Alligator mississippiensis: one gene and its partners. The protein of the gene in region 3 interacts with the protein of the main gene of each other region in a pairwise test. Links are inferred from orthologs where the notes say so. Each region holds a gene or a part of one and is shown on either strand. Other genes may lie near its edges.

Region 1 (8,246 bases), on a different chromosome or scaffold from region 3:
TTCTGCTCGTAGCTCTGCGAGCTGGTGGGCCTCCCGGGCGTTCGTCTGGAGTACCAGAAAGTATAATTATACTGCAGTGGGTGCTCGGCCGGCCCTGGGACAACAGCCTGCAGAACAGAGAACCTCATTTATCCTCACAAATTACTCTGGAGAAGAGACCGAGAAAGCTATATGCATGGCATTAGAAAGGCACGTGGTCCTGCCACCACAGAGCATAAAAGGAACAGTTTAGCCTCATTTTCCTAGAAAAATCCCATCCTGGTTAATAGCTTGACACAGATCATTACTTCAGCAGTGATCGGCTGTATTTCAAAGAGGTTATTAGAAATCCAGAGTACTTTCGCTCTTCGAGCAGGAAGGGAAAGTGCTAAGGGGCAGCAGCCCCAGCCCCAGGAAGAATGTCACCCGATAGCAACCCCTCAGGCAAATTTAGGAAGGGCATTAATAAATTCTGGAGCGGCTCCCTTTAACCCTGGGCTGCCAGGACAGTTGCAGCGGTCAAGGCTGTCACAGGCCATGGAATGCAAAACAAAGAAGAGAACGGGAGCTTCTCACAGAGTAGTCTATTCTTCTCTTTTGGGAAAAGAAAAAGCATCTAAAGTGAACTAAACCCCAAATCAAGTGAAATACTCCACCACAATTCCAGTGGCAGGGTTCAGTCATTTAGCTTTCTCAGAGCACTGTCAGCACGCAGGCAGATAAAGACAGAGGGAGTGCCAGGAACAGCCACTGCCTATATAAAAGGCTTCCAGCGTACATTAATGCAGTCGCCAAGAAACAGATGTTACACTAGAATCACCAACCTGACAGAGGTTCCATCATGCAAGGGAGAAGGAAAAGGTCCAAGCTGATCATGCAAAGATGTTACACTAATTAGAGAGCAAGTTTTAATGAGCGCAAGATTAAAGGAGAGGAGGTGGTTTCCCAAACCTGACTGAACCATGCTGTATCTGCTTGTAATCACCCTTCAAGGACAGACTATTTAAACAACAGCACAAAACTTGATCTTCTAAACCAGCAGTTTTCAACCTCGATGCAGCCTTGTGTTAGACTCCAGGCCCCCTTTGAAAACACTGGTTCCTAAGCTCTCACTCATTTTTTTTACTACAAAAACATACCAGAGCAATTATTTTTTGTCAAAAAGCTCACAAAGACCACAACAGAGCAGAAAGATTATGAAACTCTGGGTTTCTGTTTGAAGTGTCTGGTTTTATCTTGCAAATAGCATCTAGGTGTTTGCACACTTAACAGTACTAGCATTGCACAGCACTTCAGGGCACCCTTAAAAGGGCTGCATGGCACCCAGCATGCTACAGTACCCTGCTTGAGAACCGCCATTCGAAACCAAGAGCAAGCTCCCATCTGCAAATACTTCTTGAGATTTGCCTGAAGCAAGTCAAGCTTTGCTTTTTGTTTCCACAAGTTCAACTCACTGGGTGAAGATTTCTAATTGCACCGGTGAACAGGGTACTCGAGCTCAGCTTATTATACTGTACGCTCATTAGCCCTAGTTTGTTAGTACCACACTGACAGAGCAGCAAGCAAAATAACAACATGCCGACATGCATCTTCCTTACAGCAGAGCTACTGGACTGATCAAGCCCCGTCAAGTCCAGCATCTCCAACCGTGCCTTGACGACAGCAGTGGAGCGCACAGCACTCACCTTCCTCTTGGTGCTGCCCTGGGGCTTGTCCCGGTCGTTCTTTTCCTTCTCACCGTCTTTCTGTGTGCTGTTCTCTTCGTTCTGGTCATGGTCCCCACTGTCGTCATCTTTCAAACTGATGAACGTGAGGTGGGAGGAGAGAGAGCCTTAAGTTGCGCAGGAGCAAAAATGTGGCCACCCAACGCGCACCCCATGACACAGAGAGAAGCTGGGAGCCCGACAGAGACTCGTGCAGGGAGGTGCGTTATGAGCCCCGCACCCGTCACAGGTCCCGTGGCCGATACAACGCCCAGGCATCATTTGTTATCCAATACTTAGCTGTACCAATAATGGGTACGTTACCCCGTAGATTCCTATTTAAGACGAGGTCTATTACTCTGTAATTACTATTTAAGACAAGGTATAGTACCCCATAGATTCCTATTAAAGACGAGGTCTACTACCCCATAGATTATTATTTAAGATGAGGTATATTACCCCATAATTACTATTTAAGACGAGGTATATCACCCCCTAGATTCCTATTTAAGACAAGGTATATTACCCCATAGATTATTATTTAAGACGAGGTATACTACACCACAGATTATTTATGACAAGGTATATTACCCCATAATTACTATTTAAGATGAGGTATATTACTCCGCAGATTCCTATTTAAGACACGGTATATTACCCCATAATTACTATTTAAGACGAGGTACATTACCCCATAGATTATTATTTAAAACGGAGTATATTACCCCATAGATTATTATTTAAGACAGGGTATATTACCCCATAATTCCTATTTAAGACGAGGTATATCACCCCGTCGATTCCTATTTAAGACGAGGTATATGACTCCACCGATAACTATTTAAGCCGAGGCACGTTACCCCGTCGATTCCCATTTAAGCCCAAAAATCAGACGCAGGTGAGAAGTGCCATGTGCCGGGTCAGACCGTACGTCCGTCCCGCCACGTCCCAAACCCCGGGACCCCTCGGCCGGCCTCCTGCAGGCTCCGAATCATCTCGCGAGGACGGGGCTCAGGCCCCGGGGCCGGCGGGGCTGCTTTCCTGCCCCTCCGCTGCGCACACCTGCAGGCAGGGTTGCACGGGGCGGCTCATTGGACTCGCTCGCCCACCACCCCTCCTCCCCCCTGGTCCATTAGGTGTTAATTTGTCCCAAGCAGTGAATGCAATCACCAAGGAGGGGGGTGGGGGGGGGCTCAGCCCCCGTTTCTAAAGGCCAATCAGGGGCTGGGTCTGAGCAGCCTCCACACTGAGGCCCAGGAAGGTCCCCCCAAGCCTCCCCCTCCCCCACGCGCGCGTCACACATCGCGCCCCGCCCCCTCCGGACCAACGGCCGCGGCTCCCCCCGGGGGGGCGGGGGACGAGGACGGAGCCGAGGCGGGGGGGCGCGACTCACGCGTCAAATTTGTTGTTCATCCTCGCTCGCCGCCTCCGCCTGCCTCGGCCTCAGGTCCTTCCGCTCCTGCGGGGCCGCCCCCGTCACCCGCCCGCGCGCCACTTCCGGAAGCGGAACCTTTCCGCCGGGGTGCAAGTTTCCGGGGGGGACGCAATAGTCGCCGAGCACATAGTGAGGGAATGTCAAAGCGGCTCGTCCGCCATCTTGAGTGTGGCACCTTCCCTCCCGGCAGCCATATTGAGTGTGGGAGAGCCCTGCCAGGCGCCATTTTGAGTGTGGCAGACCCACCGCGGGAGCCGCCATGTTGGGGGGGGCTGCGTGTGATGTCGCGAGCGGCCGTTGGAGGGCGCCGCTGCCTTCCCGCCAAAACGGGGTGGCCCCAACGGTCGTGTGGGTGCTCGTGGCTTCATGTTCGTGCTCTGAGGGAGCAGGTTCCTGCCTTAGTTGTGAGGCGCTGCGGCCTGGGAATGAAAACCAGCCACGGCTAACAACTGCTCGCCTGGGCGGACGGAAGATTTTGAAAAGGGGGTTGTGGGGAGCAGGGTGCCTCATCCCCTCTGAAAACAACACGCAGCCGGAAGCTTTGACTGATACGCCAGGCTGCACCACGCAGGCGACGATCGCAGCAAAAACCACGTACGGCTTCACTGGACCGAGTTAGAAGCGAGGTGTAGGGCCGTGAAAGAGGAGCTTGGCTACCAGGAGCGGCAAACAGGCCGTGGCATTGGGAGAAGGAAGGACCGTTTGATTGGTGGAACATCACGACCGTGAAGAAAGACGGGGTTATTATTGCCTCTGGAAGGCAGGGTTTAAAAGGGATCGTCTAGATTATAACGAGCCATAAATGATATGGACTCTGTCGCTGCTGGGTTAGAAATGCTGCAGGCACTACCAGGGGTGTATTTGGTAGCCATTGGCGATGTGTAGGGGTACACGTGCGTGCACATGCACCCTCTGGGATTGGCTGTGTGCTCCCTGGAAGCGCCAGCCGCAAATTGGAAGCACGCTTCCGGTTTCGCCGCTGGCTCGGCGATCGGCAACTGGAGGAACCCCCCCGGCTGGAGGTACCAGTCGCCTATGTTGATAGCCATATTGGTCTGCACCGATGCAAGCCATCCCCACCCCTCGGATTTGCCCCCGGTTGCTTGTATTCTTTTTCTCTCTACTAGGGAAATAGTAGTTCTGGACCAGCTCATGCCACCCTCCAGCCGAGCAGCTGTGCCGTGCACCACAAGGACGGGGTGGCTCTTTGGCTTGATGTTGAGATCCGTGTGACAAGCAGGCATGGTTTGTTAGCTCGCTGAAAGGAATTTTAGGGACTCAGCACAAGGATTGTTGGTCAGACAACAACTGTAATGTGTTAAGAGACAAAGGGTTTGCAAAGCAGTGGTTTCCAAATGCCAAGGATGCCATTCGAGAATCCGAAAACCACTTCCCAGCAGGTGTCTGGGAAGACAGAAACTTAACGAGGAACAGCACACATTTTATAGGGTTGGGGCTGCAGAATGAACCCTACGATAGGCTTCTTGTTGATTTCCTTCACTCCTTCCGGCAGCCGAAAGGTGAATGCTCTCAGCAGACTGGAGAACATGATAAAGAGACTTGTTTTTGCCAGCTGTTCCCCCAGACAGACACGGTGTCCTGCAGGGTGAAGAGGAGAATTTATCACACATATCTAATAACCCTTGCAAGTGGAATTATGCCTCTGCCCCCAAGTTGAGGAAGGATACAATTCATTGGAAATAAATGACAATGTTTAATGTCTCAGTATGGCTTGATACTGTATAGATGTAGGGAGCACCAGAGGCACTGATCACAGAAAGTTTAAAAAAACAAGAATACATTTCACCTGTTTGTCTTCTGTCATTGTTTTGTCTCCCATATTCATTCTTGCAACACCACTACAAGGCTGTGCTATTTTTCCATTTTACAGGAGGGAAACTGAGGCACAGAGAAGCTTAGTGACTTGCCCGCAATCACAGAGGAAGTCTATGGTAGACTGGGGAACCCTGGTGTCTTAGTTTAGCACTCTAACAACTGGACCGCCCATCTCCTCTGCCAAATGGGATCAAGTCAGTGTTCCCCGTCTTAGAAGTCATGCCTACGCTAGGAAAATAGGTTACGTTTAGAAGCTACTAATAATGTAACCTGAGTTTCTACACTTCTAAAAATACGTTGATTGGCTGTAGCTACCCCTAGATGGGACTATTATTCTCTGAAAAGTAAGTTTTTACATTCCTTCCAAAACCATTTTTCCTTAAATTACCATGGATATTTGTTGCTCTCGTGTTCAATATCCAGTCTGTTTTTAAATCCTGCTGATTACTTGCTTGCTCTCCATTTAAATGTGATTGATATGAATACACTCAGTATCTGTCAGAATTCAGTGCTGCCACAAGGAAACACATTTTGCTACCACAATTCCAGATAAATTTGCTAAGAAGCTTCAAAGAGCAGTTAGTCTTAGTTTCTTCAAGAAAGAAAGAAATTATCCGCCGTTGGAGATAATACGTTTGTTTTCTGAGCTCAAGACTTTACTGGGTTTTATAAAATAAGATCGGATGAAAGGCTAAATAGATATCAGTCTGTGGAGCAAGTACCCTGCTACACTGGGTGTAATGGGATTAATGTTACCTGCTGAAAATGGCAAAAAGGCTTCTTTGTTCAAAAAGTTTCCACCTTTGTCCAGGAAGTGACTTGGGTTGAACTCTTGAGGGGTCTCCCAATGGTCAGGATCATACAGAACAGAAAATAAGTTGGGATAAATTAAAGTGCCCTAGAAAGAAAGACAACTCCTTAAGAAAATAAAAAAAATATTCCCAGCAGAAACATCCTTGGACCTCCTATGGCTTCCCAATGCAGTCTGTCATATCCCTTTAAAAGTGCCTAATGCAAGAACAAGCTAATTCTTACATGTTCACCCTCTGACACATACTACAGAATAGTTCATTAAAACAATTACTTCAGCAGCAAGGTCTTAAGATTGATTCCAAACAGTCTGAGGACGATAATATACAGCCAAAAATTAGAATGTTTAATTCTGGAAAAATAAACACCCCAGACTGAGTGTGGAACCCAATTCTAAAGTTGCGATCAGTGGAGCATGACCTCAAAGACATCTTCCTCGCTGTCTCCCAAGGAGCTATCTGTAAAGTCTCATCTGCTTGGGAAGGTATAAGGTAAGGAATAAATTTAAGGAATATATTTCTATTGGTAAAATTCCTTTTATTCTAGAATATGTGCCTTTTTCCATTTAACTTATGTATTTTTGCCTTTGGTTTCAATAGTGCCCAACATTTTAGCTCCATGGGTGAGTTGAGTGGCACAGGGTTGGTCTGTGGCTTGGCTCCTGTGTGGGATTGATCTATATGTGCGATCTAAGCACGCTAGCCCAATACTGGGTGTCCCAATCTGGCCAGGTGCCAGCCTGACCTCATGTGCCCCAATCTGGCCAGATGCTGGCTCGCCCCCGCGTGCCCCAATCTGGCCGAGTGCTGGCCCGCCCCCGCGTGCCCCGATCTGGCCGAGTGCTGGCCCGCCCCCGCGTGGCCCGATCTGGCCGAGTGTCGGCCTGACCTCACGTGCCCTAACTTGTCTAAGTGCTGGCCCAACCCGACCCTGTGCACCTGGATCTTGCCATGTACCAGCCCAACCCTGTGTACCTTGATCTGACTGTGTACTGTAGTGATCTATCGCATGCAAGACCATGTTATCTGACCTACAGAATTTGAGGTGGGTCTGGAAATTTGGGAGAAGAGTGGCAATTAACTCTGCCACCATTCTTCTGCTGCCAAATTTTCAGACCTGTGGGGAGCCTTGTGAGCTGTATGACAGCTTTGTGGGCTGCCTGCGGGCTAGAGGTTGAAGGCAGAAGAAAGGTAAAGTTGTGCAGGAGTTAACCTTTACTTACTGAGGTCCACAACCTATCCTGCAACCTATCCAATACCTATTTTTAATAAAGAGTTTTTTTTACAAATTGTTCAACCTTACTTGTAAACCATTCCTGCACAAAACACAGAAAAAACATCTATTGTTTAAAAAGGTAAGTGGGAGTTATTACTGTTTCAAATTTTGCCCAGAGAACACCTCTGAAGTGTGGTAATATACTTAGCATACCTTACTAACTGGAAAGCCCTGCACAGTTGTATCCTTGGCACACTTTCGTATAACCCCTATTGCACTTATGCTGCTATACCGCAGAACTTCATGTAAAACTGCATTTGTGTAGGGTAGGATCATTCGGTCCTCATATCGAATTTCACGAGATGAGCTAATAGTAGTGTCCAGTTCTTTTTGGACTCGTTCTGCAGGGAGAAATTGTCAGAAACCAAAATTTAAGAAATTGGTCAAAGCATGGACTCTGGCTTCTCAAAATAAGTCACTGTAAATTGCAGGATTAAATCAGATTAATTCCTAGTTCATACATACAACTTTGTCCCTTATTATGCTCAGGAGGCTGGAGGCCAAGGCCCCTTCCCTGCATTCTCCCCAGTGGGGTGGATGAGATGGGCTGGTCATATTCCCTCTGTCAACTTGCCCTGGGTTCCCCTGTCAGGGATGGGGACCCTTTGTTGCTCTAAAGTTTCTGCTTTTTTATTTTTTTCCCTCCTGATGACTCTTCATCCGTGGCTATCACTGATTGGTCTCTGTGATCATCATACTGTCTACGTTCTGTCCTGTCAGGTTATTCCTTTGTTTCACAGGCCCATCACATGCACGCATCCTAATTTGGGCTTTTCCAATGTCCTCCTAATTTTGTCTGTTCCCCCAAAACCAGAACTCTCAGGGCCCCCACCCTCAGGCCTTGTGAGCTGGTGCCACCTTATCTCATGTTATGGAACAGTGTCATATATGCCCACAATTTCCCAGGCTATGTCTAGCCATTGACCTTGTTGTCTTGACACCCTGTCTGCCTTAAAGGCTGTGAGAACTGTGTTACTGTGTGATCGGGCCTTTAAAAGTTAATTAACCCTTGCAGCCGCACTTGACTATTGTTCTAATGCATATATAACCTACAAATCAATTTCTAAAACCAAACCTCTAAATGTAATTTTCTAGCCATCAATAATGTGAACAGTGTTGTCATTAGGGCTGTGCAAAGCTTTGGATCATGATTTGGATTCGGAGATGATTCGAAGGCCAAATCTATTAATCTGAATTGAATCGCAGGA
Region 2 (7,991 bases), on a different chromosome or scaffold from region 3:
CAACATTTTTTATATTTCTGAATGTTGTACTTTTTAACTATTGCAAGCTTGGTAAATTCTAATAACTGTCAGACCTCCTGGCTGCATGTGTCCTGGTTCTTCCCCAGAGCTGTGCAAAACTTCTGTCTTTGACTGCAAATATGTCAGAGGGAAAGTGTGAACAAGTTGGTGGGGGGGAAGGGTGCTCAGATATTCTAAACACAGTGGAAATATTTGGAAGGTGACTTGAGTATAACATTACATCACAGGTTTATCAGGTATGTTCACATGAATTTTAAACTGCACCCTGGTTATGGAAGGTAGGGGCACAGTTATAATGAGCACAGCTACGTGCTCTCACATAGCACATTCCAGCCATAGGCCTCATGGTGCTTTGTAGAGCTGTCCAACACTATTTTCAGAGTACCTGAGGGATAGCAAGGTGCCATAACATGTCCAAGAGCAGAAAATGACTATTCCGTCTTTGCCCTACAGCAGGAGTCAGCAACCCCCGGCACGCATGCCAACCATGGCACACAAGGCCATTTCGCTCGGCACATCACTGCCAGCCTGGGCTCTAGGCAGCTGCTGCAAGCCACGGAGCCTGAGCTGCTCCCAGCACACAGTTGGGAGGCTGCAAGCAGCCCAGGCACCATGGCTGTGTCTCTCTCTGACCTACCCACCCCAGGGAAGACTCGCCCAGTCACACTGCCTGTTTGGCCTGCCAGGCACGAAGGCTGAACCAGAGCCTGGGCTGGCTGCAGTCGGAAGGCTACAAACAGCTGCTGCCTCCCAGCCCCAGCTGCCTCCCAGCCCTGGGCTCGGGGGAGGCATCAGGTACCAGTGATGCTCCCCGCCACGCTGCCCTCCCCCACCACCTCTGCAGAGAAGTGTGTGGAACTCAGCATGGCACAGCACAGCACAGTGGTGAGGCGCACAAAAGCTGCCTGCCACTCCAAGCTCCCCGCTGCCCTGGCCACACTTCCCCTGCAGGCAGGGGCAGGAGTGAGGGGCACAACCCTGCACGGCTGCCTGCGCTGCCTCCGTGCATACAGGGGAAGTGTGGCCAGGGCAGTAGCAGGCAGCTTCCCTGTGCAGGCCCTCTGTGTGCTGCTGCTCCAGGTCGCACACGCATTTATGATTATTAACTATACTTATATACAGTGCATCCTGCCATGTACCCCCTGCCCTTGTTTTTCTGGCATGCCAGCACTCCGGTACCTTCCAAGGTAGACATGGTTTTTTCGACACTCCAGCCAAAAAACATTGCCTACCCAGCCCTACAGTCTGTTATGGAGAAGCACCATAAAATACTGGCTTTGCTCTCCAGCTCATGGTGGGGAGCATTCACCTACCCAGACATACTTACTGTCCTGTTTGAGCATGTCTGCCATAAGATGGCAGCTCAAGGTTCCATAACACTGGCACTCAAACGGTTCCTTCTCAAGTTACGTCTTACTCTTTAAATCCAAAAGCAGGGTGCCCAAGGAGGAAGAAGTAAAAGACTCAATTAAGGCAGCCTCCTCTGGGACCACCTACAGAATGTGTCCTGCTGCTTCTGGGTCCAGGGGACAAGCACTCGCTGGTGGGAGCAGATGGTCCCAAGGACCTGGGATAATGACCAATGAGCAGCTGCCTTGCTTGAGCACTGTTGTGCGCTGGCCCTGTCGCTTCAAATTCAAGCCATCAGCATGAAAGCAGCCATAAGCATAGAGAAGTGAGTGATAATTGCCATCTGGAAACTGGCATCTGCAGTAGCCTCCAGTCTGTCACCAACCACTTCAGCACAGGCAAGTCCATGACTGGATTACCTGTCCATAAGGTGTGCTGTTCCATTCAGAAGATGCAGGTGCCATGATTCCTCTGCCTCTCTCACCTACAGAAGATCTTGGCTGGATCTAAACATAAGGGCTTTCTGAACTGCATTGGGACCATCGATAGAACGCACATTCCCATTCTGTGCCCAGTGTACTATATATAGGCCAGAGTACAAGTAAAAGGGGTATGTCTCCCCTACTGAAAGGCATCATGGACCAGTGAGGATAGCTCATATCTGTTACCACTGGGTCGTCAGGCAAGATCACAATGCCAGGGGCTTCAGGAACTCCAGCCTGGTGCCCCTGATGACAGAGGAAGTGTTTCCCCATGGTGTTCCCAGGATACAGCTAGAAAGTGACTATTTCTCCCTGCTACTCAAGGACCTGACCTACTTGCCCCTCCTGTGGCTCATGAAGCACTACATCAGACACTGGCATGAATGGGCACATGCCCCCAGCAGCTGGGGGGGCACAGTGGTGGCAGGAGCATGGCAGCGGGGGCAGCAGTAAGCGGGGGAGCTCCCACAGACACCACCAGCGCTGGGGCGGGAGGCATCAGCCGGTGGGAATCACAGACCACCCCCTACACATCGCCCCTTGACACTGGTGATGAAAACCCCCTCCAGCTACTGACTGAGCATCTGCCAGACAACTATGAAGTGCCCCTTTGGGGGCCACAAAGCACAGCAGAGGGTCCTGGGGTTGCACTTGGATACAAGCAAGTGCTTCCTGAAGGCCTGGTTACTAGAGGTCTAAAGGTTTGGTGGTTGCTACTAGACCCGAGACTGAACCTCTGAGGCACCACCACTTTCAGGACAGGCTTTGTGAGGGTAGTTCTGGCAAACTACTTCTAACAGTGCCTGGTGATGGGGTGGAAGGGCAGGGCTTGTAAAGTCCAACCAATGTAAAGGACAGCTTGTTTGTCTGAAAAAAAAGTGGATGAGAATTAAGCTCACACTGTTATCATGGGGGGGAAGGGGGGAGGGGAACAGGAATGGGATCTCAAGGGCTGAGTGGCAAGACTGCATCTTCCCACACTGCAGAGGGATTGAAGGGGCTTGAGTCCCCTCCCTCTTACTGTTTGAACTGCAAGGTTGAGGGGAGCTATTCTTGATCTCACATCCCTCGGCCTCTGAGAATGACTGTGTCCCAGAGCTCCCACTCATGCTGGAGCAGAGGCTCTAGGGCCTTACAGATGGGAAGGTTGGGACTGTGCTCAATGTGGCATGGCTGGGATCACAGTAGGAAGGTTTGGGCATAGGAAGGGGGGGTCTGGGACTGGAAGACATTTCTGAAGGACGCTTTTCCAAGACTAGAGAAAATGGCTCTGCCCCACAGCCTTGCTTCCTGGACAGGCCCGGTGAGTTCCAGGGGCACTGCAGCCAGAAAGGGGAGGCCTTTCAATGTCAGAGCAAGGCTGTATGAGGTCTCCCCTGAGAAGGTTCCAGTATGCTGCCCCAGGAAACTGGGTGAAAGCTCTGCTTAGCCCTGCTGGCCTGTGGAATGACAAGTTCATGTGTCCCATGCGGAGTGTCTCCTCAACTCCTGACTGCTCCAAAGACAGCTCATTATTTGCCTGCCCCAGTACCTGGACACACCCATGCAAGCTCTCTCCTGAAGTCTGCCCTCAGCTGCTCTCTGAAAATCATCCTATGTGGCCCCTACTCAGACCTAGGACTAAAGACTGGATGTTTGCACCCTGCCCCCCTGGTACCATTAGTGGAGCTCCAGAAACCCTCCTGTCTGTCCTGCTCAAGCTACAGCCTACACAAATTCTCACACGTTCACAACGTAATAGTCAGGGACTGAAAGCCTGAGGGGACAGCACAGATGTTAACTGTGCTGATTCATTACTGGCCTCTCTTGTATCAGCCTCCAGCTGTCTGCAGAATCAGTGAAGGGTGGGGAGGGGACAACATCTGCAATCCTGTGGAGACGCTGTTTGGCTTGCTTGCCTTTTTGTGATTTCTTTCAGAGTTTTAGCTTTGTGAAGCAGACTGAAGATAACCTAACATGAGCTAGGTAGCATGGCTACAAGTTTCCCCCCACCTTAAGGTAATATAACCTTGAGATACTCAAAGGACACTCAGCACCAGTTAACAAGCTTTAACATGCAGATGCTTGCATTTTAAGTGCTATTAGTAATGATCCAAGCATAACATGCAGCTTCCCCCTGAAGTTAGATTAGGGGTGCTCAACCTCCAGCCTGAGCCAAATGTGGCCTGTGAAGGCTTGGCATCCAGCCCATTGTTCTCCCCACAGGTGGAGTAATTTGGCAGGAGGGGAACAGTGGCAGCTACTATTGTCACCCCTCCCTGCTGCCAATTTCCCAAGGATTGGAGCTGGGCCATACCCCTCCACCCACAGGGCCAGATCATCAGGGCTGGGCCACAGCCCCTTCTCCCTGTCCCACTACAGGGCCAGGTTGACCTGTGCCAAATCCCTTCTCACTGCACAGCCAGATTGGGGACAGGCTGCCCTGAGCCCTGCGTAGCTGGAGGGGGCCCCGCTCTGCCCACCCTGGGAACTGGATCAGGACTTCTGGTCCGACCCAGCCCACGCACTGACCGGGCACTGCCTGTCTGGCCTGCCAGGCACGAAGGTTGAACGCCACTCGCTTAGACGTCAGGGAAAGCTTCCTTTGAGAGCGGCAACCCCGGGAAGTTACTGACCCGCCCTCGGGTCGATACCGCAGGGGCCGCTGGTGGGCTTCGGCCAGGGGAGGCCTGGGAGCAGCGGCGCGGCTCGGCCGGGGCCCCGGGGCCCTGCCCGCGCACGCTGCGGGCCGCCCCGCCCAAGCCCCGCTCTCAAGGGCTGCGCCAAGGCGGCGCGCGAGCTGCTCTGTGCCGCAGCGAGCGGCGCGGCCGCATGACGCGACGCGACGGGCCGGGCCGGGCCGGGCCGGGCCGAGGCGGCGGAGACGCTCCCGCCGCCAAAGCAGCTCTGGCGCTCTCGCACGAGGGCGGACGCGGAGGAGCCGCGGGCGGGACCAACCCCCGCGAGGCGAGGCGAGGCGAGGCGCTACAAGCGCCGGCCGAGCCGTGACTTAGGGCCCAGGCAGGCGGGGCCTGTGCGCGCGGCTGCGCGGGGCGGGACGAGGTGTCCAAGCGTTGCCTGACAGGCTGCGCCGGCCCGTCAGGCGCCAGCCGGGCAGCCTGGTCCCGCTGCTGGTGGGCGGCGGGGCTTGAGCGGGTCCGCCGCGGTGCAGTGACGTCTGAAGGAAGCGGCCGCTGGCTCCGAAGATGCCCCCGAAGGGGAAAGGCAGCAGCAAGGCGGGAAAGGGTGCGTGCGTGCGGGCGGGCGGGCGAGCGAGCGGGGGGTGCAGGCCGCCTGCTCACGCTCCTGTGGTGTCTCTGCAGGAGGTGCCTGTGGCGGCGGCGGCGGTGCGGAGCAGAAGGCGCAGGGCCCGAAGGGCGGCGGCAGCGCCGTGAAGGTGAGTCCCGGGGCAGGCGGTGCCTCGGGCGGTACTGGGAGTCCCGCGTCTCGGCCTGGCCCAGGCCTCTTGGGCCTCGGCGGCAGGAGGGAGCTGCTCCCCAGAGCCCCGCGCCTATCCCGCTCCCTCCCGCCAAGGGCCCGGCGGCCTGTGCGGGGGAGGCGGCCCTTCTGGCAGCCCAGCGGGGCCTCACCAAGATAACACCCCCCCCCCCCCCCCCCCCAGCTTGGCTTCACAGCGAGCCCTGCGGGCTCGACCCCAGGGTGCATGAGGTACCACTGCAGAGGGGCAGGGCCCATGGTACAGCTGTGCACAGGGGCCATTGAGTTGCCTGGACCTGCGATGTTCACTGCTTCCCTAGCGTTCATTTGCACTGCTTGGCAAAATGATCGTTCAGATGCAGCTGCAATCGGCCGCACCGCGCAACAGTGAACTCAGAGGGGAGCTGATAAATGGCCTGTCTGCAGGGCTTCTGCCTGAGGGAACAGTGGTGGTATCACAAGTCTACTACCAAGGGCTTATGGTAAATCTCAAGTACAGCCGCTAACCACAGCATGTGTCTGTGAGTTGTGCTGTTAGACTTGTTACCTGAAGGGATGACGGGCTATTTCATAGACTTCTAGACAAGTCAGACTGGAAGGGACCTTCAGAGGTCATTTAGTCCAACCCCCTGCCAGACGCAGAATCAGCCAGGCTGTAGCAGCCAGAGCAGACTGTGGAGAAGAGACCATTGCTTTGCTCTGCATTGGCTCTTCTGTGGGATGGCAATAGAAGCTGCAAGCCTTTACAGGATCTGAAAGCTGCTGCCATCGTAAAAGGAGCAAAAGGAAATAAGACTATCTCTGCCCCCCAATGTAATTTTCCTCTTGTTTTTGTATTTTAGGTCAGGCACATCCTGTGTGAAAAGCACAGCAAAATTATGGATGCCATGGAGAAGCTGAAGTCTGGAGTGCGTTTCAGTGATGTAGCTTCACAATTCAGTGAAGATAAAGCAAGACAGGGGGTATATATTGACAGCACTCTTGGGTTGCCTGCCTAATAATGGAGAGACATCAAGGTTTAGTGCAGGGGTTCTCAGTCAGGGTGCTGTGAGACCTTTTCAAGGGTGCTGCACCACTGCAGTCTGGTGCGAGTGCCATGGGAGTCTGTTTGCATGAAATGCTGTGCAGGGCTGGACTGAGAAACAGCAGTGGCAGGAGGGCATGTTAGTGAAGCCCAGCCTGTCTGAAGGTCCCAGTGACATAACAGAGGAATAGGAGGGCACAAGCCCCAGGTGCTGAGTAAGTGGAGGTGCCTCCCAGGTCCCCTCTGGCTACTTGTGCCCAGGGTCAGCATTTCCCAAACCTGGTAGATACAGGCTCCTACCTTCTGTTTGCTCCATGCAGCTCACTAACCATTGCTGTTGTCTAAGGGAATCTAGCAAGGGTAAGCAATAACTGCAGTAGGGGCTGTAAAAGTAATACTGGGCACAGATCAGGAGCTGAGGAGGCAGCAGGCAGCTTGGATGTTGTTGGGGGGGCTTGAAAAGAAAGGCATAAAGCAGGGCAGAGAAGAACATGCTGGAGCCAAGTGTACCACAGCTGGTAGAGGGGGACCCATGGGGGGAGTTAGATGCACAGTAGGTTTGAGAAACTGTCCCAGGGCACAAGCCCTACTAGTGAGGTCTCTGGAAAGTCAGACAGCATACAATGCAGTAAGTATTACCTCTTCTGGGCTCAACTGAGCAAAGTAGTGCTGCTCCAGACTGGGTGTTGGGCTCCAACCTTCTCCCAGGGTGCTGTGGGCTGCCTGGTAGGCAAGGACCATTGGAAAGCAGAGTTTGGACACCTCCAGAGCAGCAAGCACTGGCTGAGACCACATGAACCCCATTTCCTTGCTTGCTGAGCTCTGCCAGAGCTGCCTCCACCTCACCTGTGCCATCTTCCCATCACTTAAGAATCCCATGGTACCCTCAAGGTCAAATCTTGAGCCCCCAGGCAGGTCTGGGGAAGGAGGTACCTACTGCCTTCTGTTCTTGCAGTGTGTTAGGGCAGGGGCTGTCTCTCTCCATGTCTATAGCTGACATAATAGATACCAGATATATATATGCAAGCATTTTACACACTGTAATAAATACATTTCTTTTTTGAAATGAGGTGCCACTAAATGCAGAACAGTTACAGAGGCAGCTTTCAGTCTAAAAAGGTTGAGAACTTTGCCATTGATGTTGGGGCTGTGTTTTGGGAGAGCTTGCTATAGAAGACCTGTTGCTGTTGGGAATGAAGTATTCCTTAAGAGCGCTTGGAAAGGACCATTATGCATTCAAATGATGTGCAACTCTGCTCTGGAACTAACAATCTCCATTGCAAGAGGGCAGCTGCTGTCAAAGGAGCAGTTGTGTACTGTTAGAGGGGAAGGGAAGGTGATAATTGATTTACACCCAGTTCTCTCTTGATATGAAAAATAGGGTAAGATAGTTTCCCTAGCATAGTAGGGGGGCCAACCTTTTTGGCAGGCTAATCCAAGCTAAACTAAGCCCCACCCCCAAGTGCCTTTCCCTTGTCTGATTTGTTACCTTGCTTTCTGTTCCTCTTCTGCCATGTTCCTTGCTCCCTCCCTGGTCTGTTATGTCCTGCACAAAGGCTGTCCATACCACTTGTGGCACACATGGCACAGGTTAGCCACACCTGCCCCAGCACATCCTCCCCGTATTTCATTCACTTTGCTGCAGTGATGAACAGCAGCTGAGTTTGAAGTTGCAAACACTAAACAGAAGGGCCTGT
Region 3 (7,484 bases):
CCCTCAGGACCCAGGCTCTGGGACCCTGTGGAGCAGCTGAGCAGTCAGGCTGGGAACCCTGAGAGGCAGGAGTGGCTGGGTCCCATGGCACCCAGACCCCAGAACCTGCTGTCCCGTGGTTCAGGCTCAGGCAAGTGAATACAGCAGTTCCAGCCCATTACTTCTCGGACTTGCCCTCTGTCCCCCACCTCCACAGCGGGCTGCCCAGTGGGGGGGCCTCTTGTGCCTGGCCGCAGCTACCAGAGGCTCGGTTCCAAGCAGAGTGGGTCCTGGTTGAGTTCTCCACTGAGCGCATCAGCCTCTGGGTCGGGGACACCCCAGAGCTTGGGAGCAAGAAGAGAGCCACTCCCCTGGCCACTGGCCCGTTCTGACTTTGGACCTCTGACGGCTGTGTAGGGGTAAGCAGCACCGACTCTAGCCTTCCACGGGCCTAAGGATCTGGGACTGGGCTGCTTTTTCTTCTCCTCAGGGCAGGAAGCTCCCCTGCGTCGGCTGCCTCCCTTCTCACCCAGCACCCCATGGGCACCCTTGCTCGTGTCCCACCCAGTGCCCCCTGTTCTAGGGCAGAGCAGCTATGCAGTGGGCTCCTGGCTGTTGTGCCACATGCTGCTCCCCACCTCTTGAGCATCATGGCAGGGTGGGCCCCAGTGATGTGCTGGTCTGGGTGGAGGTACAGTCTGCAGCAGAAATGGGGTCGGGTGGGTCTGGCTGGGGTTTTCAGCAGTGCGGGGTGAGGGTAGGGGGAGCTGTCTCTCACCAGACAAGGGCAGTTAGTGTCATGCTGGTGCCTCCACTTGTCTCTCTCAGTGCTGGTTGCCCTGCATTCCCTGTGTCTTGTCCTCCTCCTGTCTTGTGTCTGTTCACACCGCATCTCACTGGAACCTGGAACTCTCCGCAGGCGGGAGGGCAGAGGGCAGGGGTGCAAGGGTGGGCTGGGGGAAGGGAGCAGTGCCGCCAGCCCAGGGGTCTGCTCCCCAGGGCAGCAGCTGGGAGGCAGAGGGAGGACATCCTTGTGCCTCTGCCCCCCTGACTTTTGGAGGTTCCTGGTTCCCTAAGGCTTGGTTGCTGGGGATGGGGTGTCTGTCTGTCTGTCTGGGGGGTGCAGGGTGCATGTCATGGGATGTGTGTGCGTGTCCCTGTCTGGTGTGACTGTTGGGGACAGGGTGGGGGTCGGCGGGCTGTGCGATTCCAGCAGTGGCAACACAGTCCCCTGTCCGGAGAGGGCACCCCTGGGGGGCCCCTTGGTGCTGGATGACTGGCGTGAGAGGTCAGTGCCCAGGCTGGGCAGGATGGGCCGAGGGCTGGGGGGCCGGGGCAGCTCTTAGTATCAGAGATGGCTGGGGGCCCTGGGTGGGGGAAGGGGACAGCATGGCTAGACCTCATCTGTGCCCCTACCCTACCCTGCCCAGGCAGACAACACCTGGCGCCGCAAGGCGGGGGAGAACCTGGGACCTCAGTGCAGATGGGCGAGCTGGTGTTGGCACCATGTGGCATCTCCCTCGCAGGGGTCTGGGTCTGCCCAACGTGGTGTGGTGCTCCCAGGCCACCTGGGCCGTGGGCTGCCGGAGCCACTCCTCCTGGGAGGGCTGGCATCTGTGACCTGTACGGGGCGTGCAAGGCCGAGGGCAGTGCAGGTTGGCCCCCCAGCCGTTAGGCCCACCCCCCGGTGCTTGCCACTGGCTGCTAACTCTCAAGTCCCTAGGTTCTGGCAGCGTGTGCTGAGCTGCGTGCATTTTGCCCTTGTCTCTGGGGCCAGGTGGGGAGCAGACCTTGCATCTCCTGGGTCCTCCGCTCCGCCCAGAGCCTGCAGTCCTCATGCCCACTGCTGGCATGAGGCACCGTTTCCTCAGGGCACAGGGCTTGCATGAGTTCCTGCTGAAGAGTCCTGCCAGGTGCCGCGCCTTGCTGTGTCCCCCCGGGGAGCAGGGCCCCAGCATTCCTCGTGGGCTGTGGGCCTGGCCTGCAGCGTGTCCCTGCGAGGCAAGGGGAGCCCGGCCATCCAGGACAGCCTGTGGCGGAGGGCCTCAGGCGCGGCCGGGGCCCAGTGCAGAGCGGGTGGGGGCGGCGTGGCCATGTCCCGTGTGCCGTTAATAAATAAGCCCGTGCTCTGCATGTCTGCGTTGCAGGAGAGGCAGCTTTCCGCCGTGGGTGCAGCAGACTCGCGTGTGAGCGGCGCCCTGGGGCCGCCCTGGAACGGGATGCTGCCCGCCCAGCCCCCGCCTCCGCCCCCGCGACTCCAGATCACGGAAAATGGAGAGTTCCGCAACACCGCTGCTGAGCACTAGCCACTGCCCCCGCGGGATGTGGCGCCGGGCCCCGCGCCGGGCGGACCCTCCCTGCCCGCCGCTGCCGCCCGCACGCCCGCCCGCGGCTCTGGGGGCGCAGCAGAGACCCTGGCCGGGACATGGCGCCCTCCCCCTCGGCCCCCGCATCGCAACCGAGCAAGCAAGCAAATAAACCCGCCCTCTTCTGGGGGGAGGGGCCCCCCACTCCTGCCCCCCTTTGCGCACCAGCCCCTGCCCTGCCCCTGCCCCTGCCCCAGCCCCCCATCACGCCGTCCCTCGGGGAACGGTGCGACTCTTCAAACACAACTTCAGGGTGTTTTATAGCAGGACACAGATGACAATCTTACATCCACCCCTCCCCACCACCTGCCCCGACGCTCTCCCCTTGGCCCCCCCACCCCTCGTCTATCTCAGGAGTGCCCCCTACCCCATGGCAGACTGTCCATTGAGTTGCCCCCTGGGGGCCCAGGTGTCTATGCCTTGGCCGGGGGCGAAACACCCCACCCACCCCACTGCCTCTGAGCTGCCTCATTGCTGGGGCATGGGGGAGTGTAGCGCCAGGCTGAGCCCCAGGGAGACTGCCTGGGGTGAAGCTGTGGGCTTTGGGGGGTTGTGAGACCTGCCAGGGGGGCCTGGCTGGCTCCGGCTCCCCTGGGCATGGGGCGGGAAGAGGGTCCTGATTCTGCCCCTGCCCCCCCAGCAATGGGGAGTGTGGGGACAGGTGCCCGTGGCTGGACCGAGGATCCTAGCACTGAGGCCCTGGGTCCTGTCCCTGCCCCTGCCCCAAGATTCCCCTGCAAACCTGCCCCCGCCCCTTCCCTGCAAGGCAGGGTGACCCCCGTCCCTGGGGAGCCTCCCCTCTTGCTGGGGGCAGTGCTGGGCTCTGCCCCCGGCTCGCCCTGCCACCCCTGCCCCGCCTGGCGCCGGTGTGGGGGGAGGAGGGTCTCCCACGCCGCCGCCTGCCCCAGCCCTGCTTTCTGTGCTCTCTACTCCGACAAAGGGCTTTGCCTGCTCAGCGCCCACCCGCCCGCGGCCTGGCCAGCGCCCCCGGCCCCCGGACACGGACACTGGGCTGTAGCTGCCTGGGGGAGACGGGGCACCACGGGAGGGGCTTTCTCGTTCTTTCTTTCTTTTCTTTCTCCGTTTCCTCCCGGTCTCGAGACGCCCCAGGCCCTGCCCCACGGGGCGAACGTGGGGGCAGGGGGGGAACGCGACCACCGACCAACCAACGGGAAATCTTGAAGAAGCCATTTCTCTGCCCACCCGCCAGCGCGGGCACGGGCCCTGGGTGGGGGTGGGGGTGGGGGGCGCCGGTCCTACCCCCTGGCCTGAGCACGGAGAACTGGAGGGGGCCTGTTGTGGCTGTTCGCCGTCGTGCTATGGTCCGACCTGCTGGGTGAATGTGTTCAGCGCAGTGATTGTACTGGGTGTTTCTTTGCTGTTTCTGTGTCTCTATTTCAGACTCCCGGCTAGGGCCACCCTCGCCCTTCACCGGCCCCCAGCCCCTCCTCCCTGTGGTCCATATTTCTTTTGTAAGGCCTCACGCCTGCCCTCCCTCCACCGCCCTCCCCCCCCCCCCCATCCCGGACGAGGGCGGCGCCGTGATATTTATACGTATTAATTATTATTATTATTAATGATTATTATTATTATATAAAAGTTTGTACATATGTGAAATTTTCTCGGCTCCCGCCCCTCCACCCGGCCGCGCTGCCCCTCTCCCCTGCCCGTCCCTGGGCTGGGTGCTGTAATTACCACCGGATTTGTACTGTACATAGACCTCTCTGGACCTCACTCTCTGTACATAGCCCGCCTGCCCCCCCCGCCCCGGGAAGGGAGCTCAGGTGTGAGCCCGGCGCCCGCTGGTGCCCCCGGGCCTCTCTCTTCTTTTCTTTTTATTATTCCGCCCCCCCGGCCCTTTTCTTTCTTTCTTTCTTTCTCTTTCTTTCTTTCCTTTTTTTTCTGGAGTGTGTGGTGACAACATCGGAAACAAATGAAAATGTTTAATAAAAAGCGATTGTTCTTTTACGCCGCCTCGGCCCCGGGGTGCTCGCGGCAAGGCCGGGCCGGGGGGGCGGCGGGGCGGGGCGGGGGCCCGTGCCGGGGGCGACTCACGCACATGTCCGCTGGGCCGCGCGGGGAGGGGGCGTGGCCAACCAAAACCCAGCTCGGCAAGAAGCTCGAGAGGCCCTGCGATTGGCTCCTTCTAGCCAATCAGGTCTCAGGTGCTGGGAGCTGGCGCCCCGCCCTCCGGCGGTGGCGGCGCTGGTTGGCTGGCGGGAGGAAATGGCTGTCCGCCGGGCTGGGCGCTGGTAAGCTTGTGGAGGGGGGGGTTAGTTTCTGGTTGGCCGCCTGCGGAGCGGCGGTGGCGGGCGCTCCCGAGAGAAGCCCGGCGCGTGGGATACATCGTGGTCGGTCGCGTAGGGCAGGGCAGGGCAGGGCGCCGGGGGCTGAGCCCTGCAGCAGCGGCGGCGGCACGGGCGGCTCCCGCGGTGGAAGCGGCCTGCCTGGGGCGCTTCTCGGGCTCGGCCCGCGCGGGGCAAGGCCGGGTGTTTCCTGGTGTTGAGTGCCGGTCGGCCCGCGGGGCGGGGCGGGGCGAAGCGGTGCCCGGGGTTGAGTGCCGGTCGGCCCGCCCGGAGGGGCGGGCGCTTCCCAGGGTTGGGTGCCGGTCGGCCCGCGCGCGCAAGGGAAGGAAGGGGCGGGGCGCTTCCCGGGGTGGGTGGGCTGCAGTGGGCCCGCGGGGGAAGGGGCTGGGCGGCGGAGCGGGTGCGGGCTCCGGTGGCAGCGCTGCCCGGCGTGCCGTGCCCGGCCCGGCCCGGCCCGGCCCGCCCGGCGGCGCGATGGAGGCGGCGGCGCGCAGCGTGCAGATCGAGTTCCCGCACTTCGCGGCCGCGCTGCTGGAGACGCTGAACAAGCACCGGCTCGAGGGCAAGTTCTGCGACATCGCGGTGCACGTGCAGGGCCGCGTGTTCCACGCGCACAAGAGCGTGCTGGCCGCCGCCTCGCCCTACTTCCACGACAAGCTGCTGCTGCAGGACACCAGCTGCCTGGCGCTGCCCAGCGTCATCGAGCCCGACGCCTTCGAGAACCTGCTGCAGCTCATCTACTCCGGCCGCCTCAAGCTGCTGGTGGAGGCGCTGCCCAGCCACCTGCTGGTGGCCAGCGGGCTGCAGATGTGGCAGGTGGTGGACCAGTGCTCTGCCATCCTCAAGGAGCTGGAGGGCGGCCCCTACCGGCCCTGGTCCAGCCGCGCCAGCGAGAGCCAGTCCCCCAGCAGCAGCAACTACTTTGCGGTGAAGGAGGACGGGGAGCTGGGAGGCGGCGGGGAGCGCGGCATGGCGGCTGTGGCCCGCGGGGTGCCGGGCTGCCCGGACGATGAGGTGATGAAGATCCGGGTGTCCCATGAGGAGGAGGAGGAGGAGGAGGAGGACAAGCACCCGGCCGGGATCTGCAGTGGGTCCCTGGACAAGTCCATGAAAATCGTGCTGAAGGATGATGAGGAGGTCGGGCTCGGCGTCTCCAAGGGCCCGGCCTCCGCTGAGCCGGACGGCCCCTTCCCCAGCCCTCGAGACCACCCCAAAATCTACTACATCAAGCAGGAGCGCTTCGACCCAGAGGAGGCTGCAGTGGCGGCGCTGGGTGGTGGGGCCGGGGCTGTGGGCGAAGCCTGCTTTCTCAAGTCGCTGGCACAGGGCCGGGCGCTGGGCATAGCCGAGGTGCACGGCCTCTACCAGGCCAGTCTGCCGCCAGGCAGCAGCAGCGAGGTCAGCTACATTATCCCGGCGGCAGGCAGCACTGCCACCAGCGCTATCGCCTCCTCCTCCTCCTCGCTGGCCGCCCCCGGCTTCACCATCAAGGCCCAGCCCCTGCCCTCGGACGAAGTCGGCTTCCCCCAAAGCTCCTGGAAGCCGGTGGACCTGCACGGCAACGAGATCATTGCGCACACGGTGCACGGGCAGGTGGTGCACGCGCCGGTCAAGATCGTGGCGGCGCCTGACGGGAAGAAGTTCGGCTGCCTGTGTGGGAAGCGCTTCGCCGTGAAGCCCAAGCGGGACCGGCACATCATGCTGACCTTCAGCCTGCGCCCCTTTGGCTGCTCCGTCTGCAACAAGAAGTTCAAGCTCAAGCACCACCTCACCGAGCACATGAAGACGCACGACGGGAACCTGTACTCCTGCGAGGACTGCGGGCGCAAGTTCCGTGTCCAGAACTGCTTCCTCAAGCACAAGGAGCTCTGCAAGGGGCAGGGCTGGGCCACTGCCTGCTGGACCTACAAGTAGACTGGGGCGGGCGGGGACAGCCCCGCGCCACATCCCGCCAGGCCGGGCCCTGCCTGACCGCTCTGCCCCCCATGCCTTTGGGTTCCCGGCCCCGTGGCCGGCGCCCTGGTGCTGGGGCACGTGGGAGCTGGCGATTTGGGCCCTGCGGCTTCAGTGCTGCGATGCTGGCCCCGGGAAGGAGGTGGTGCAGGGCGGTTGGGAAACACTAAGGGGGTAGCTGTGGGTGGGGGAGGGGGGAGCGTGTGCAGCCTTGTGCCAACCCGTTCTTGTATAAACAGTTGCAGCCCGGCGTGGGGCCGTCCGGGATCTGTCTGTCGGCCTCGTCTGTCCCCCGCGGGGGGAGGGGGCAGAGCGGCCTGGGGCCGGGGCCTGTGTTGCCCTCACGGCCTCCCCGGGGCAGCGGGGCGGGCTCGGCCGGGGGCTGCCCCGACCTGGGGGCGGGCTCGGGCGGCGCAGCCTGGTGGCTGTGACCTGCCACATGACCAACGTCCGTGCCCCTGGCCCTTGGCGTGCGTGACCTCCTGGGGGCGGGAGGTGGGTCGCGTGGCTACGCCCCCTGCCCCTTTGGCCGACACCGAGGCTGATTGGGCCGGCCGCGGAGGGCGGAGAGGGGTGCCGGCCAATCGCCCCGCAGCGGAAGCGGCCCTTCTTGCCAATCCGGGCGGCGGGGCCCGGGCAGGGAACGCGGCCGGGGGGCGTTGCCCTGCGTGGGCCAATGGCAGGTGAGCGGTGGGGGGCGCGAGCGGAGGGAGGCGCGCAGCCAATGGGCTGGGGGCGGCAGTGACGTAACGGGGGGAGCGAGGTTTGAAAGCGGCGCGCGCTCGGGCTGGGGGCGGGGCCGCGTCGCCCCGGCAACCGCCACCGCGGCCCCTCCTCGGGTCCTGCCTCGGCATCGCCTCGCGTTGCCGTGACAACCGCT
Region 4 (7,438 bases), on a different chromosome or scaffold from region 3:
TATTATCACAATTTCCTTTTAACACTGTTTCTGTAAGCAACATGTGTTTATAATGGCAGAAGGGTATTTTTTCACAGTTTTTACTCAAAAAATGTTTTGGCCTAAAATAAAAAAAGAAAGCAAAGCAAAAAAAGAAATTTAAAATGTGCTCCTTAGCTGAAGACAACCATGAACATGTCAGACTTACAACACAGAAATACGCAAGAGCTAACAGCATCTAGAAAAGGTCCTTTTGAACTGAAACGTTAAGGTTGCCTAAGCTATTGATGTCATTGTCCACATCACCAGTAGTGTACCAAAATCTGCCTGGATTATTGGTTAGAAATTTTGCTATTTCCCCACTAATCCCAATAGTGTGATGGAAAAGACAGTGTTCTGCTGAGATACAACAAGGCTAGAGGGAGGGGTTAATTAATTGGTGACCCAGTGACCTCATTAAAATGACAAAATGCCCAAAAACCATTAATGCCATTCTTAAGGGAAGGCTGAAGTGTTTAATGATTGGTTTAAAGTCAGCACGTTAACAGACAAGCATTTTCACATGGAAGTATTGCTCCAGGGCTGTGTCCTGGTAACTCAGCAGAAGCTAGTGAATGCCCCTCCAGGAACAGGCTGTCTCCAACTGTGCAGATCTAAAAATAACAGTGTAGTACTACAACAGCACCAACACTGCTTAGCATGCATCAGCCTTGATCCTGAACGCCCGGAAATAGAGTGCAGCAGGGAGCCCATGTCAGCTGTGCCTCAGGGCAGGAAAATCATGGGATGAGCACTCAGGCAGCTCTCAGCACTGACCTAGAGTGAGCTGCAAGTGAGCCATACAGGGAAGTGGTGGAAAAGCAGGTGAAGAATGGGGGTGTCTGAACAAATACTGTGAAGTCCTAGGCATGCAGATGAGGCAGTAAGATGAGAGCCTCTCCTCTGGCCTTACTGTGGCTCCTGCGAAAACCTCAAGGTGAGAGATCACCCTGTTGTACTCCGTGCACCCCTGTACAGAACCTGACCTTGCGTACCTGTGGCCCATTGCTGAACTCTGTTGTTACCATCACATCCTACCTGTGCATGTGCAATCCTGTAATGACAGCCCAGTGCTACTTCCAAGCCTCCTCCCAAAGCCACGCCTTCAATGGCAGCCACCACTGGCTTCTGACTTCTCTCTATCAGAGAGACTGTTTCTGCCAAAGCAGGTCTGTCTCTTGGCGGGAGGGAGGAGAACATTCGAATATCAGCACCTGATGAAACACAGAGGAACTTAGACTGTAAAAAAAAAAAACCAACAAAAAAACCCACACACACACAAAAAAAAAAACACAGCAGGGAAAGGATTGCCTATCACGCCCCTTCCTTCTAGGCAACTCAACCCAGCTGAAATACCATGGAGTCCAAGTCAGACCTGAACTTGCAAGACAGCAATCCTGATTCCCAGGCTTGTCAAGCAGGTCAAAGATGGTGAAGAAAGGTAAAACTAATCAAACCCCTGCACAGTGTCCAGGACCCTATGTGACAAAACCTATTATTAGCCTTTTCTGTCTTTTGGGGTATAGGCTAAATAACTATAAGTGTGTGCAGTAATCACAAATCAATGTCACGACACTACTGTAATTCCCAAGCAATGGGCTCATTGCAATGGGCTCCGTCCTTTGCCCCTGTTTACAAATACAAAGGAAAATACGTCTTATATTTAGTGTCACCCATTGGGAGCGTGAACCATGGGTAAGGAGGTGAAAAAGGATCCTATATGGTCAATTTCTGAGAAACACCACATTAAAGATACATCAGGTTCCTGTAGATGGTGAATGGCTAGAATAATACAAGCATCGAAATACCCCAGACCCTGCTGCTATTCTGAAGAACTGCAGAATTTGTCACCAGGATACCTGTAGTGACTGTAACAGGACTTCCATGGGACATCAAAGTAGTGACTCAGTGGGTGCATGCAGGTGTGCACTGCAGCTTCTACCATTTACCAGTAAAGTCATATGACCCACAGACTGCTTCTCTGTGGGTCAAATCTTGATCCCATCAGTTAAAGGGAAAAGCTTCCAGAGTCTTCAAAGGGGCAAAGAATAAACAGGAACTCTCCATCCATACCTACCTGAAGAAAAATGCCTTACCTGCAGAAAATTTCCCATTTGCCCCACAAATCACAACAGCTTTCACAGAAGGGTCTGAGTCTGCTTTCTTCACTCCTTGTGCTAAAGCCTGGACGACTGCAGAGCTAAAATAAATCAGAGACTCATTGACTGATACTTACCCACGCTATGAATCAGAGAGTTCACATTTCTCATAAATATTAATAGCAGGCCAGGCACAGCAGCATGGTAGAAGGGAGCACCGAGTCCCAGTAAGCTTCTGTAGACCAGCAAAGCTATGCTGGATATCTTATTCAACCCACACCAGCCACATCTTCCATAGAAAACTGCCCAAGTGAATCCGTGCACCCACAGAGAGTCACACTGAGCTCAAGGGCATGTACTGGTTGTTAAGGTCACACCCAAAGCTACAGTGCCAACAATGCTTGTTAGATATGGGGTGCTCAGCTCTCAGCCTGAGGGCCAGATCCAGCCCTCAGTGCTGTGTAATCCAGTCCATACAGCTCCCTACAGATCTTGTGGGGAGTTCCATGGGCTGTGACCCTGGATGCTAGACTCGGCATGCAGGGTGGCATGGGGCCCAATCCTGCCACATAGGGACCGGGTGGGGGCAGTATTAGACCATCACCCATTTGCTGAAATGCCTTGTAACACATTTATTTCTATGGAAGCAAGTAAGCAAGCCAGCCCAACATGCAATATGGGAAAGACCTTTTTTTTCCAAGGCAATTAAATTACTTTCCAACTTAAATGCTTGCACTCAAAAACAGAAATGGTCCCAAGTAGTTTATAAAAATGAATACCAAACCCTTGACAAGATAAGGAAAATATTTCAAAACCCTGAGGGGAGTTTAAGCCAACAGTTCACACCCATGGTATGATCTAGATAATTATCAGGCTTTGAGCTGCCACCACTCGTAGAAATTTAATGTTCATGTTCAGGCATCTGGGAGGCTCCTGGTCCTGGGTATGACTTGAAACTGTACCCTGCTGGGAAAGGATGGCCTGGTGGGGCTTCTCGTGGTGGGGAAGCTCCCCAGAAATGCCAGGCCAGTTGCATCCCCGGTAAAAGGCAGGGAGGGGCTCCTTAAAACCCCAGCCCCCACATCCTGATGGCATACCTTGATTTAGGGCCAGGCACAGGGACCAGGCATACCTTTGCGCACTGGAGGCGCCAGGGAGGGGGTGGGAGTTGGCCCAGAGAGGGTGGGCAGGAGAGTAGCCCCAGAGTGGGGGTAATAGAGCAGGTGTGGCCCACAGAGTAGGGGCATCTTTACGACCTGAAGGACTGCGCGTAAGGAAGGTGTAGAGTAGGACTGAAGGCCAGTCTGAAGGGCTGCACCAGGGGGTGTGTTGAGTAGGGCTGAAGGACAGCCAGAAGGGCAGCACATGGGCCAACCCCCATAAGCATGTGAATATATTGTGAACGTTGCCCAGTGAGGGGCTGGGGGCAGAGTCAGCTCAGTGTTCAGTTAATTGGCTGGTCACTGTCTGGATGAGGGTCACGGAAGACCCAAGAGGCTGTATGCCAGCCAGCCAAGGTGAGAGTAGGCAAGCCTGATGGCTGCTCAAAGGAGTAGGGCAGAGTGAGTGTGGCCCAGCGAAGGACAGCGTGCAAGACGCCTGGTCAGAAAAGGCAGAGTGGAAGAGGCCCCAGTGAGAGGCGGGAGGTATGCGTGTGACCCCAAATAGGGTAGTGTGCAAGAGGCCCAACAGTGGACTGAGTCTGACCCTATCTCAGGCCAGAGCTGTAATAGCAAACTAGATGCCATCTGCAAGGCATGGGCCACAGTATAGGGAAGGCATGGAGCCATGGATAGCACCCCTGGCATTGGGGCAGTAAATGGGCAGCCTCCCGCTTGTTAAATCAGAGAATATCAAGTCATGGCAGGTAAGACAGGGCACAGGTAGGAGGCCAACATGAGACCCGGTCCTGTCATGCCCCCTGTCACAGCAGCCAAAAAGGTAAGATATGTGGGGCCAGGGGGGGTGTGAACAAAGCTCACTGAAATGGATCCCACCCTAGATGGACAGGGCTCTGCCTCCAGTGGGGCAAGAGACAGCAATCCCACTACTGTCCATCTAATGGCTATCAAATAAAAAGTGTAGTTGAGTCACCATTGGCGAAGGAAGACCAGGAGCACAAACCAGACTCCACCACCTTCTCCTTTCTAGGGTACTGCCCTTCTCACTGAGCCACATTCCCTCCATTTATTGTCCTTCTGGTTGCCCAGTGGGCCAGCTTCAGAAGTGAGGCTGGAGAGTGTGTTTGGCAATGCATAGGGGGTTGGAGCACTCAGCTGGGAAGTGGGAGATGCAGGTTCAAACCCCCTTGGAGCAAGGGGTCTCCTGCTTCCTGGGCAAGCGCCATAACAATAGACTAAAGGTGGGGTGTCCCCTTCTCCTTTCTACAAGTTACACACCTAAAATCCATGGAAGTAGCTCAAAAAACTACGTGAGCTGTCCAAATGCTACCTCAAAGCATCAAAGTGGACCTGAATATGGGCTGTTGGGGCTAGCTTTCTTGATCAAAGGCCACAATGAAAGGTATATGAAATGAAGGAAGGGAGGACCAGCATACAGTACAACCTCCTTATAATGAACCACCACAGGGCCAGGAGAAAAAAATCTTTAAAAGAGGGTGCTTGCTACAGCAGGGTTAGTTAGTTGGCTACACCATAAAAATGTGGGAAAAAAGAAAAGAAAAAAGAATTGGTATTATTAAAAAACAGTGGCTTATTAACAATCAAGATTTATTACAATGAGATTGTAGTGTATTCCAAGATAAGAATTGGAAGAAACAGGGAAGTTTCTGGCCCAAAATGGGAGAGATGCTGTCGCATTTATTTTATGTTTAAGAAATAAGGGAAAGAACAGACTTCTTACAGGAGAAAGGGCCATGACCCCAGAGAAGAGAAATGCAGACTGAAGGCTATGACAATGGGGAAACAGCTGACGGGAGAGAGGAAATGAACTGAGAATGTGCAGTTGAGAGAACAAATTAACTATCATGCCAGGGCAATAAGACACCTCATTAGGGATCTGGAGACTGGGTAGAGAAAGTGGCAGGAAGAGGAAAGGTGGATATAGCAGATAAGGAAAGAAAACCATCCCAAATAACAGCAGTGTTTCACAATATAAGGGGCCCTGTCACATGAAGTGAGCTTTAATCAGGCCAGAAGAGAAGGCTGGTACCAGGGAGCTGGTGCAGAGGGAGAGATGCATGGGGAAGCTGAAGTAGAGTTGTAGTAAAAGGGGAGTGAGCAGTGTGCTCTTGTACACTGGATACCCACCCGAGCCATCCTTAGCTGACCAGCTTCAAACAGCAGCAGCAAACTTGGGCAGCAGAAGAAAAACTGATGACTCAAGCTGTCAGAAGAGGAATGGGGGCAAAGAAGGGCATGGAGAAAGAAGAGTTTCTGCATCCAGGGGAAATGAGAAGTACTATATTTACTCAACTACAAGACGAGGTTTTTTTCCCCCATTTAATTGCGGAGAGCCCTTCATCTTGGAATCAAGTATGAGGCAGTGGGAGGGGTAAGCAGCTGCTGCCTGTCCCCTGCTGCCTCTGCACCCCGCCATCTCCCCACTGCAGCCCCTTTCCCCCGCATCCCCTCCGCAGTCTCTCTCCCTGCCTCCCCACCCCACCACTTTATCCTTGCCCCAGCACCAGGAGGCTCAGTCCCCACTCCAGCCTGGGGCATAGAGCAAGATCCCTGCCCACTGCTGTAGCAGCAGTACTGAGCTGGCAAAGCTCCTACAGGGCTGAGCTGGGGCATGCTCTGTGCCCCAAGCTGGAGCTGAGATGGAGCCTGCTGGCATCAGGGCAAAGGCAAGGGAGGCACAGGGGGGAGAGCAGAAGCTGTGGGAGGGAGGGGAAGGGGGAGTAAGCAGCAGGGGGCAAAATGCTTGACCTCCTCACATTACCTGCTCCCCCTCACTGCCTGCCACCCTGCAGCGGTGGGGAGATGGGGTGAGAGGACTAATTTAGAATGACCATCCAATAATTAGGTTCTATACATGGAAAATAATGACAAATTTATACATTTTTCAAGTATAGAATGTAATTGTTGGGAGGGGTCATCTTAAATTCAGGGTCGTCTTGTATTGGGGTAAATGTAGATGTTCAGAAAAGAAGGGAGGAAAAAAAATCAAGGGGGAAAGACACCCCCACATTGTCATCCACATTCAATGAAAATGAAAAGTTGCATTAAATGAACGGACACAGAGAGGGTGAGACACATGAGGAAATAAAGTGAGCAGGGAGCAGATGGCCCAGGAAATCCTGGGAAAGAAGCAGGGCTTAGGAAACTGTCCTGAGTACCCAAGTTTTTGTGAACTGGGAGAGAGCATGAAACCAAGGGCAAGAGTCCTCATGCCCGGAATACCAGTAAGAGAGACTGAAGTCCTCCAGAAAGCAAAGGAAGAAAAGGGAAGGAAAAATCATAAAATTAATGAGAAGGGGCTCAAGAGGCAAGAGATGCTGTGGCTCAGCTGGAAAGGCTGACAGGAAGGCCTAGAGCAGGGAAGACTGATCTGTGGTACGTGTGCCACAAGTGACCTAGGCCGTTTGCTGTGTGGCATGTGGTAGAGCAACAGTTTGGGCTGGGGGCACAGGGCAGGGAGCAGAAAGCAGAGCAGCAGGTGAAGGGGGTCAGAGTGGAACTCAGGGAAGGCGTGGGGTTTAATCTGTCTGCCACAAAGGTTGGCTCCCGCTGGCCCAGAGTTTCCATATATTCCTGGTAGTCTATGCTCCCTCTTCACTCTGCCTATCCCTGGGGAAATTTTGGGATGGGCCACATCCCAGTCCTGTTTCTTTTCAGCCTACTTCTGCCACTTCTTATGGCATGTGACTTTTTTACCTCCCCTTTGCCTCAGGTGACTCCCAGCTCTTCCCATTGTCCTCCCACCATCCCATTCCACACACCAGTCTCCCCCTATTTCAACATCTCACCACCCTCTGGGACTCATAGGCTTCCTTCCCAAGCCTCTTTCTTTCACTGTATTGCTGCTAATGCTGCCATCCCTCCTCTCAATCAGGCCTGCAGCTAGGACATAGAACAGGGCTTGAGGAAAGGGATGGCAAAGGGAAGCTACCCAGAGACTGATGCTAGCAGAAGCAGCTCAAACAGGGATCTCTGGACACCATCAGAGCATCTACAGCTTTAAGAAGGTATTCCCTTAACTGTCCTGACTATTGGTTTATTTTCACCCTTCCCTAGTTGCCCTTTGGTATCTCTTCTCCTTTCTCATATTTTTCCATGTAGCTAATTTCCCTCCAAGAAAACCCCATCCCAAAACCTTCAAGAATTGCAACGCTAGTGTGACATGCTGCTGACTTTGCT

The links.
Region 1: the proteins of ZBTB9 (region 3) and EIF4E2 interact in binary tests that used the Homo sapiens proteins (3 or more experiments, as listed by UniProt). The two-hybrid records come from large-scale screens. The link is inferred for Alligator mississippiensis from reciprocal best matches to the Homo sapiens genes ZBTB9 and EIF4E2.
Region 2: the proteins of ZBTB9 (region 3) and PIN4 interact in binary tests that used the Homo sapiens proteins (3 or more experiments, as listed by UniProt). The two-hybrid records come from large-scale screens. The link is inferred for Alligator mississippiensis from reciprocal best matches to the Homo sapiens genes ZBTB9 and PIN4.
Region 4: the proteins of ZBTB9 (region 3) and EHHADH interact in binary tests that used the Homo sapiens proteins (3 or more experiments, as listed by UniProt). The two-hybrid records come from large-scale screens. The link is inferred for Alligator mississippiensis from reciprocal best matches to the Homo sapiens genes ZBTB9 and EHHADH.

The regions. Positions count from the first base shown.
Region 1 is NC_081830.1:84,413,322-84,421,567, reverse strand, and holds the start of EIF4E2 (eukaryotic translation initiation factor 4E type 2), read right to left. Parts: upstream 3,185-8,246; 5' UTR 3,096-3,184; coding exon 3,076-3,095; intron 1,780-3,075; coding exon 1,665-1,779; intron 108-1,664; coding exon 1-107. Other genes in the region: cytochrome P450 2J5, read right to left, coding at 4,538-4,716, 5,710-5,851, 7,192-7,379. UniProt on the Homo sapiens protein: Recognizes and binds the 7-methylguanosine-containing mRNA cap during an early step in the initiation. Acts as a repressor of translation initiation.
Region 2 is NC_081831.1:39,604,414-39,612,404, forward strand, and holds the start of PIN4 (peptidyl-prolyl cis-trans isomerase NIMA-interacting 4), read left to right. Parts: upstream 1-4,913; 5' UTR 4,914-5,038; coding exon 5,039-5,078; intron 5,079-5,155; coding exon 5,156-5,229; intron 5,230-6,112; coding exon 6,113-6,232; intron 6,233-7,991.
Region 3 is NC_081834.1:64,913,215-64,920,698, forward strand, and holds ZBTB9 (zinc finger and BTB domain-containing protein 9), read left to right. Parts: upstream 1-5,125; coding exon 5,126-6,565; 3' UTR 6,566-6,871; downstream 6,872-7,484. Other genes in the region: SYNGAP1 (ras/Rap GTPase-activating protein SynGAP), read left to right, coding at 2,127-2,285. UniProt on the Homo sapiens protein: May be involved in transcriptional regulation.
Region 4 is NC_081830.1:29,982,764-29,990,201, forward strand, and holds the start of EHHADH (peroxisomal bifunctional enzyme), read right to left. Parts: upstream 3,365-7,438; coding exon 3,250-3,364; intron 2,250-3,249; coding exon 2,115-2,249; intron 1,233-2,114; coding exon 1,057-1,232; intron 1-1,056. UniProt on the Homo sapiens protein: Peroxisomal trifunctional enzyme possessing 2-enoyl-CoA hydratase, 3-hydroxyacyl-CoA dehydrogenase, and delta 3, delta 2-enoyl-CoA isomerase activities. Catalyzes two of the four reactions of the long chain fatty acids peroxisomal beta-oxidation pathway.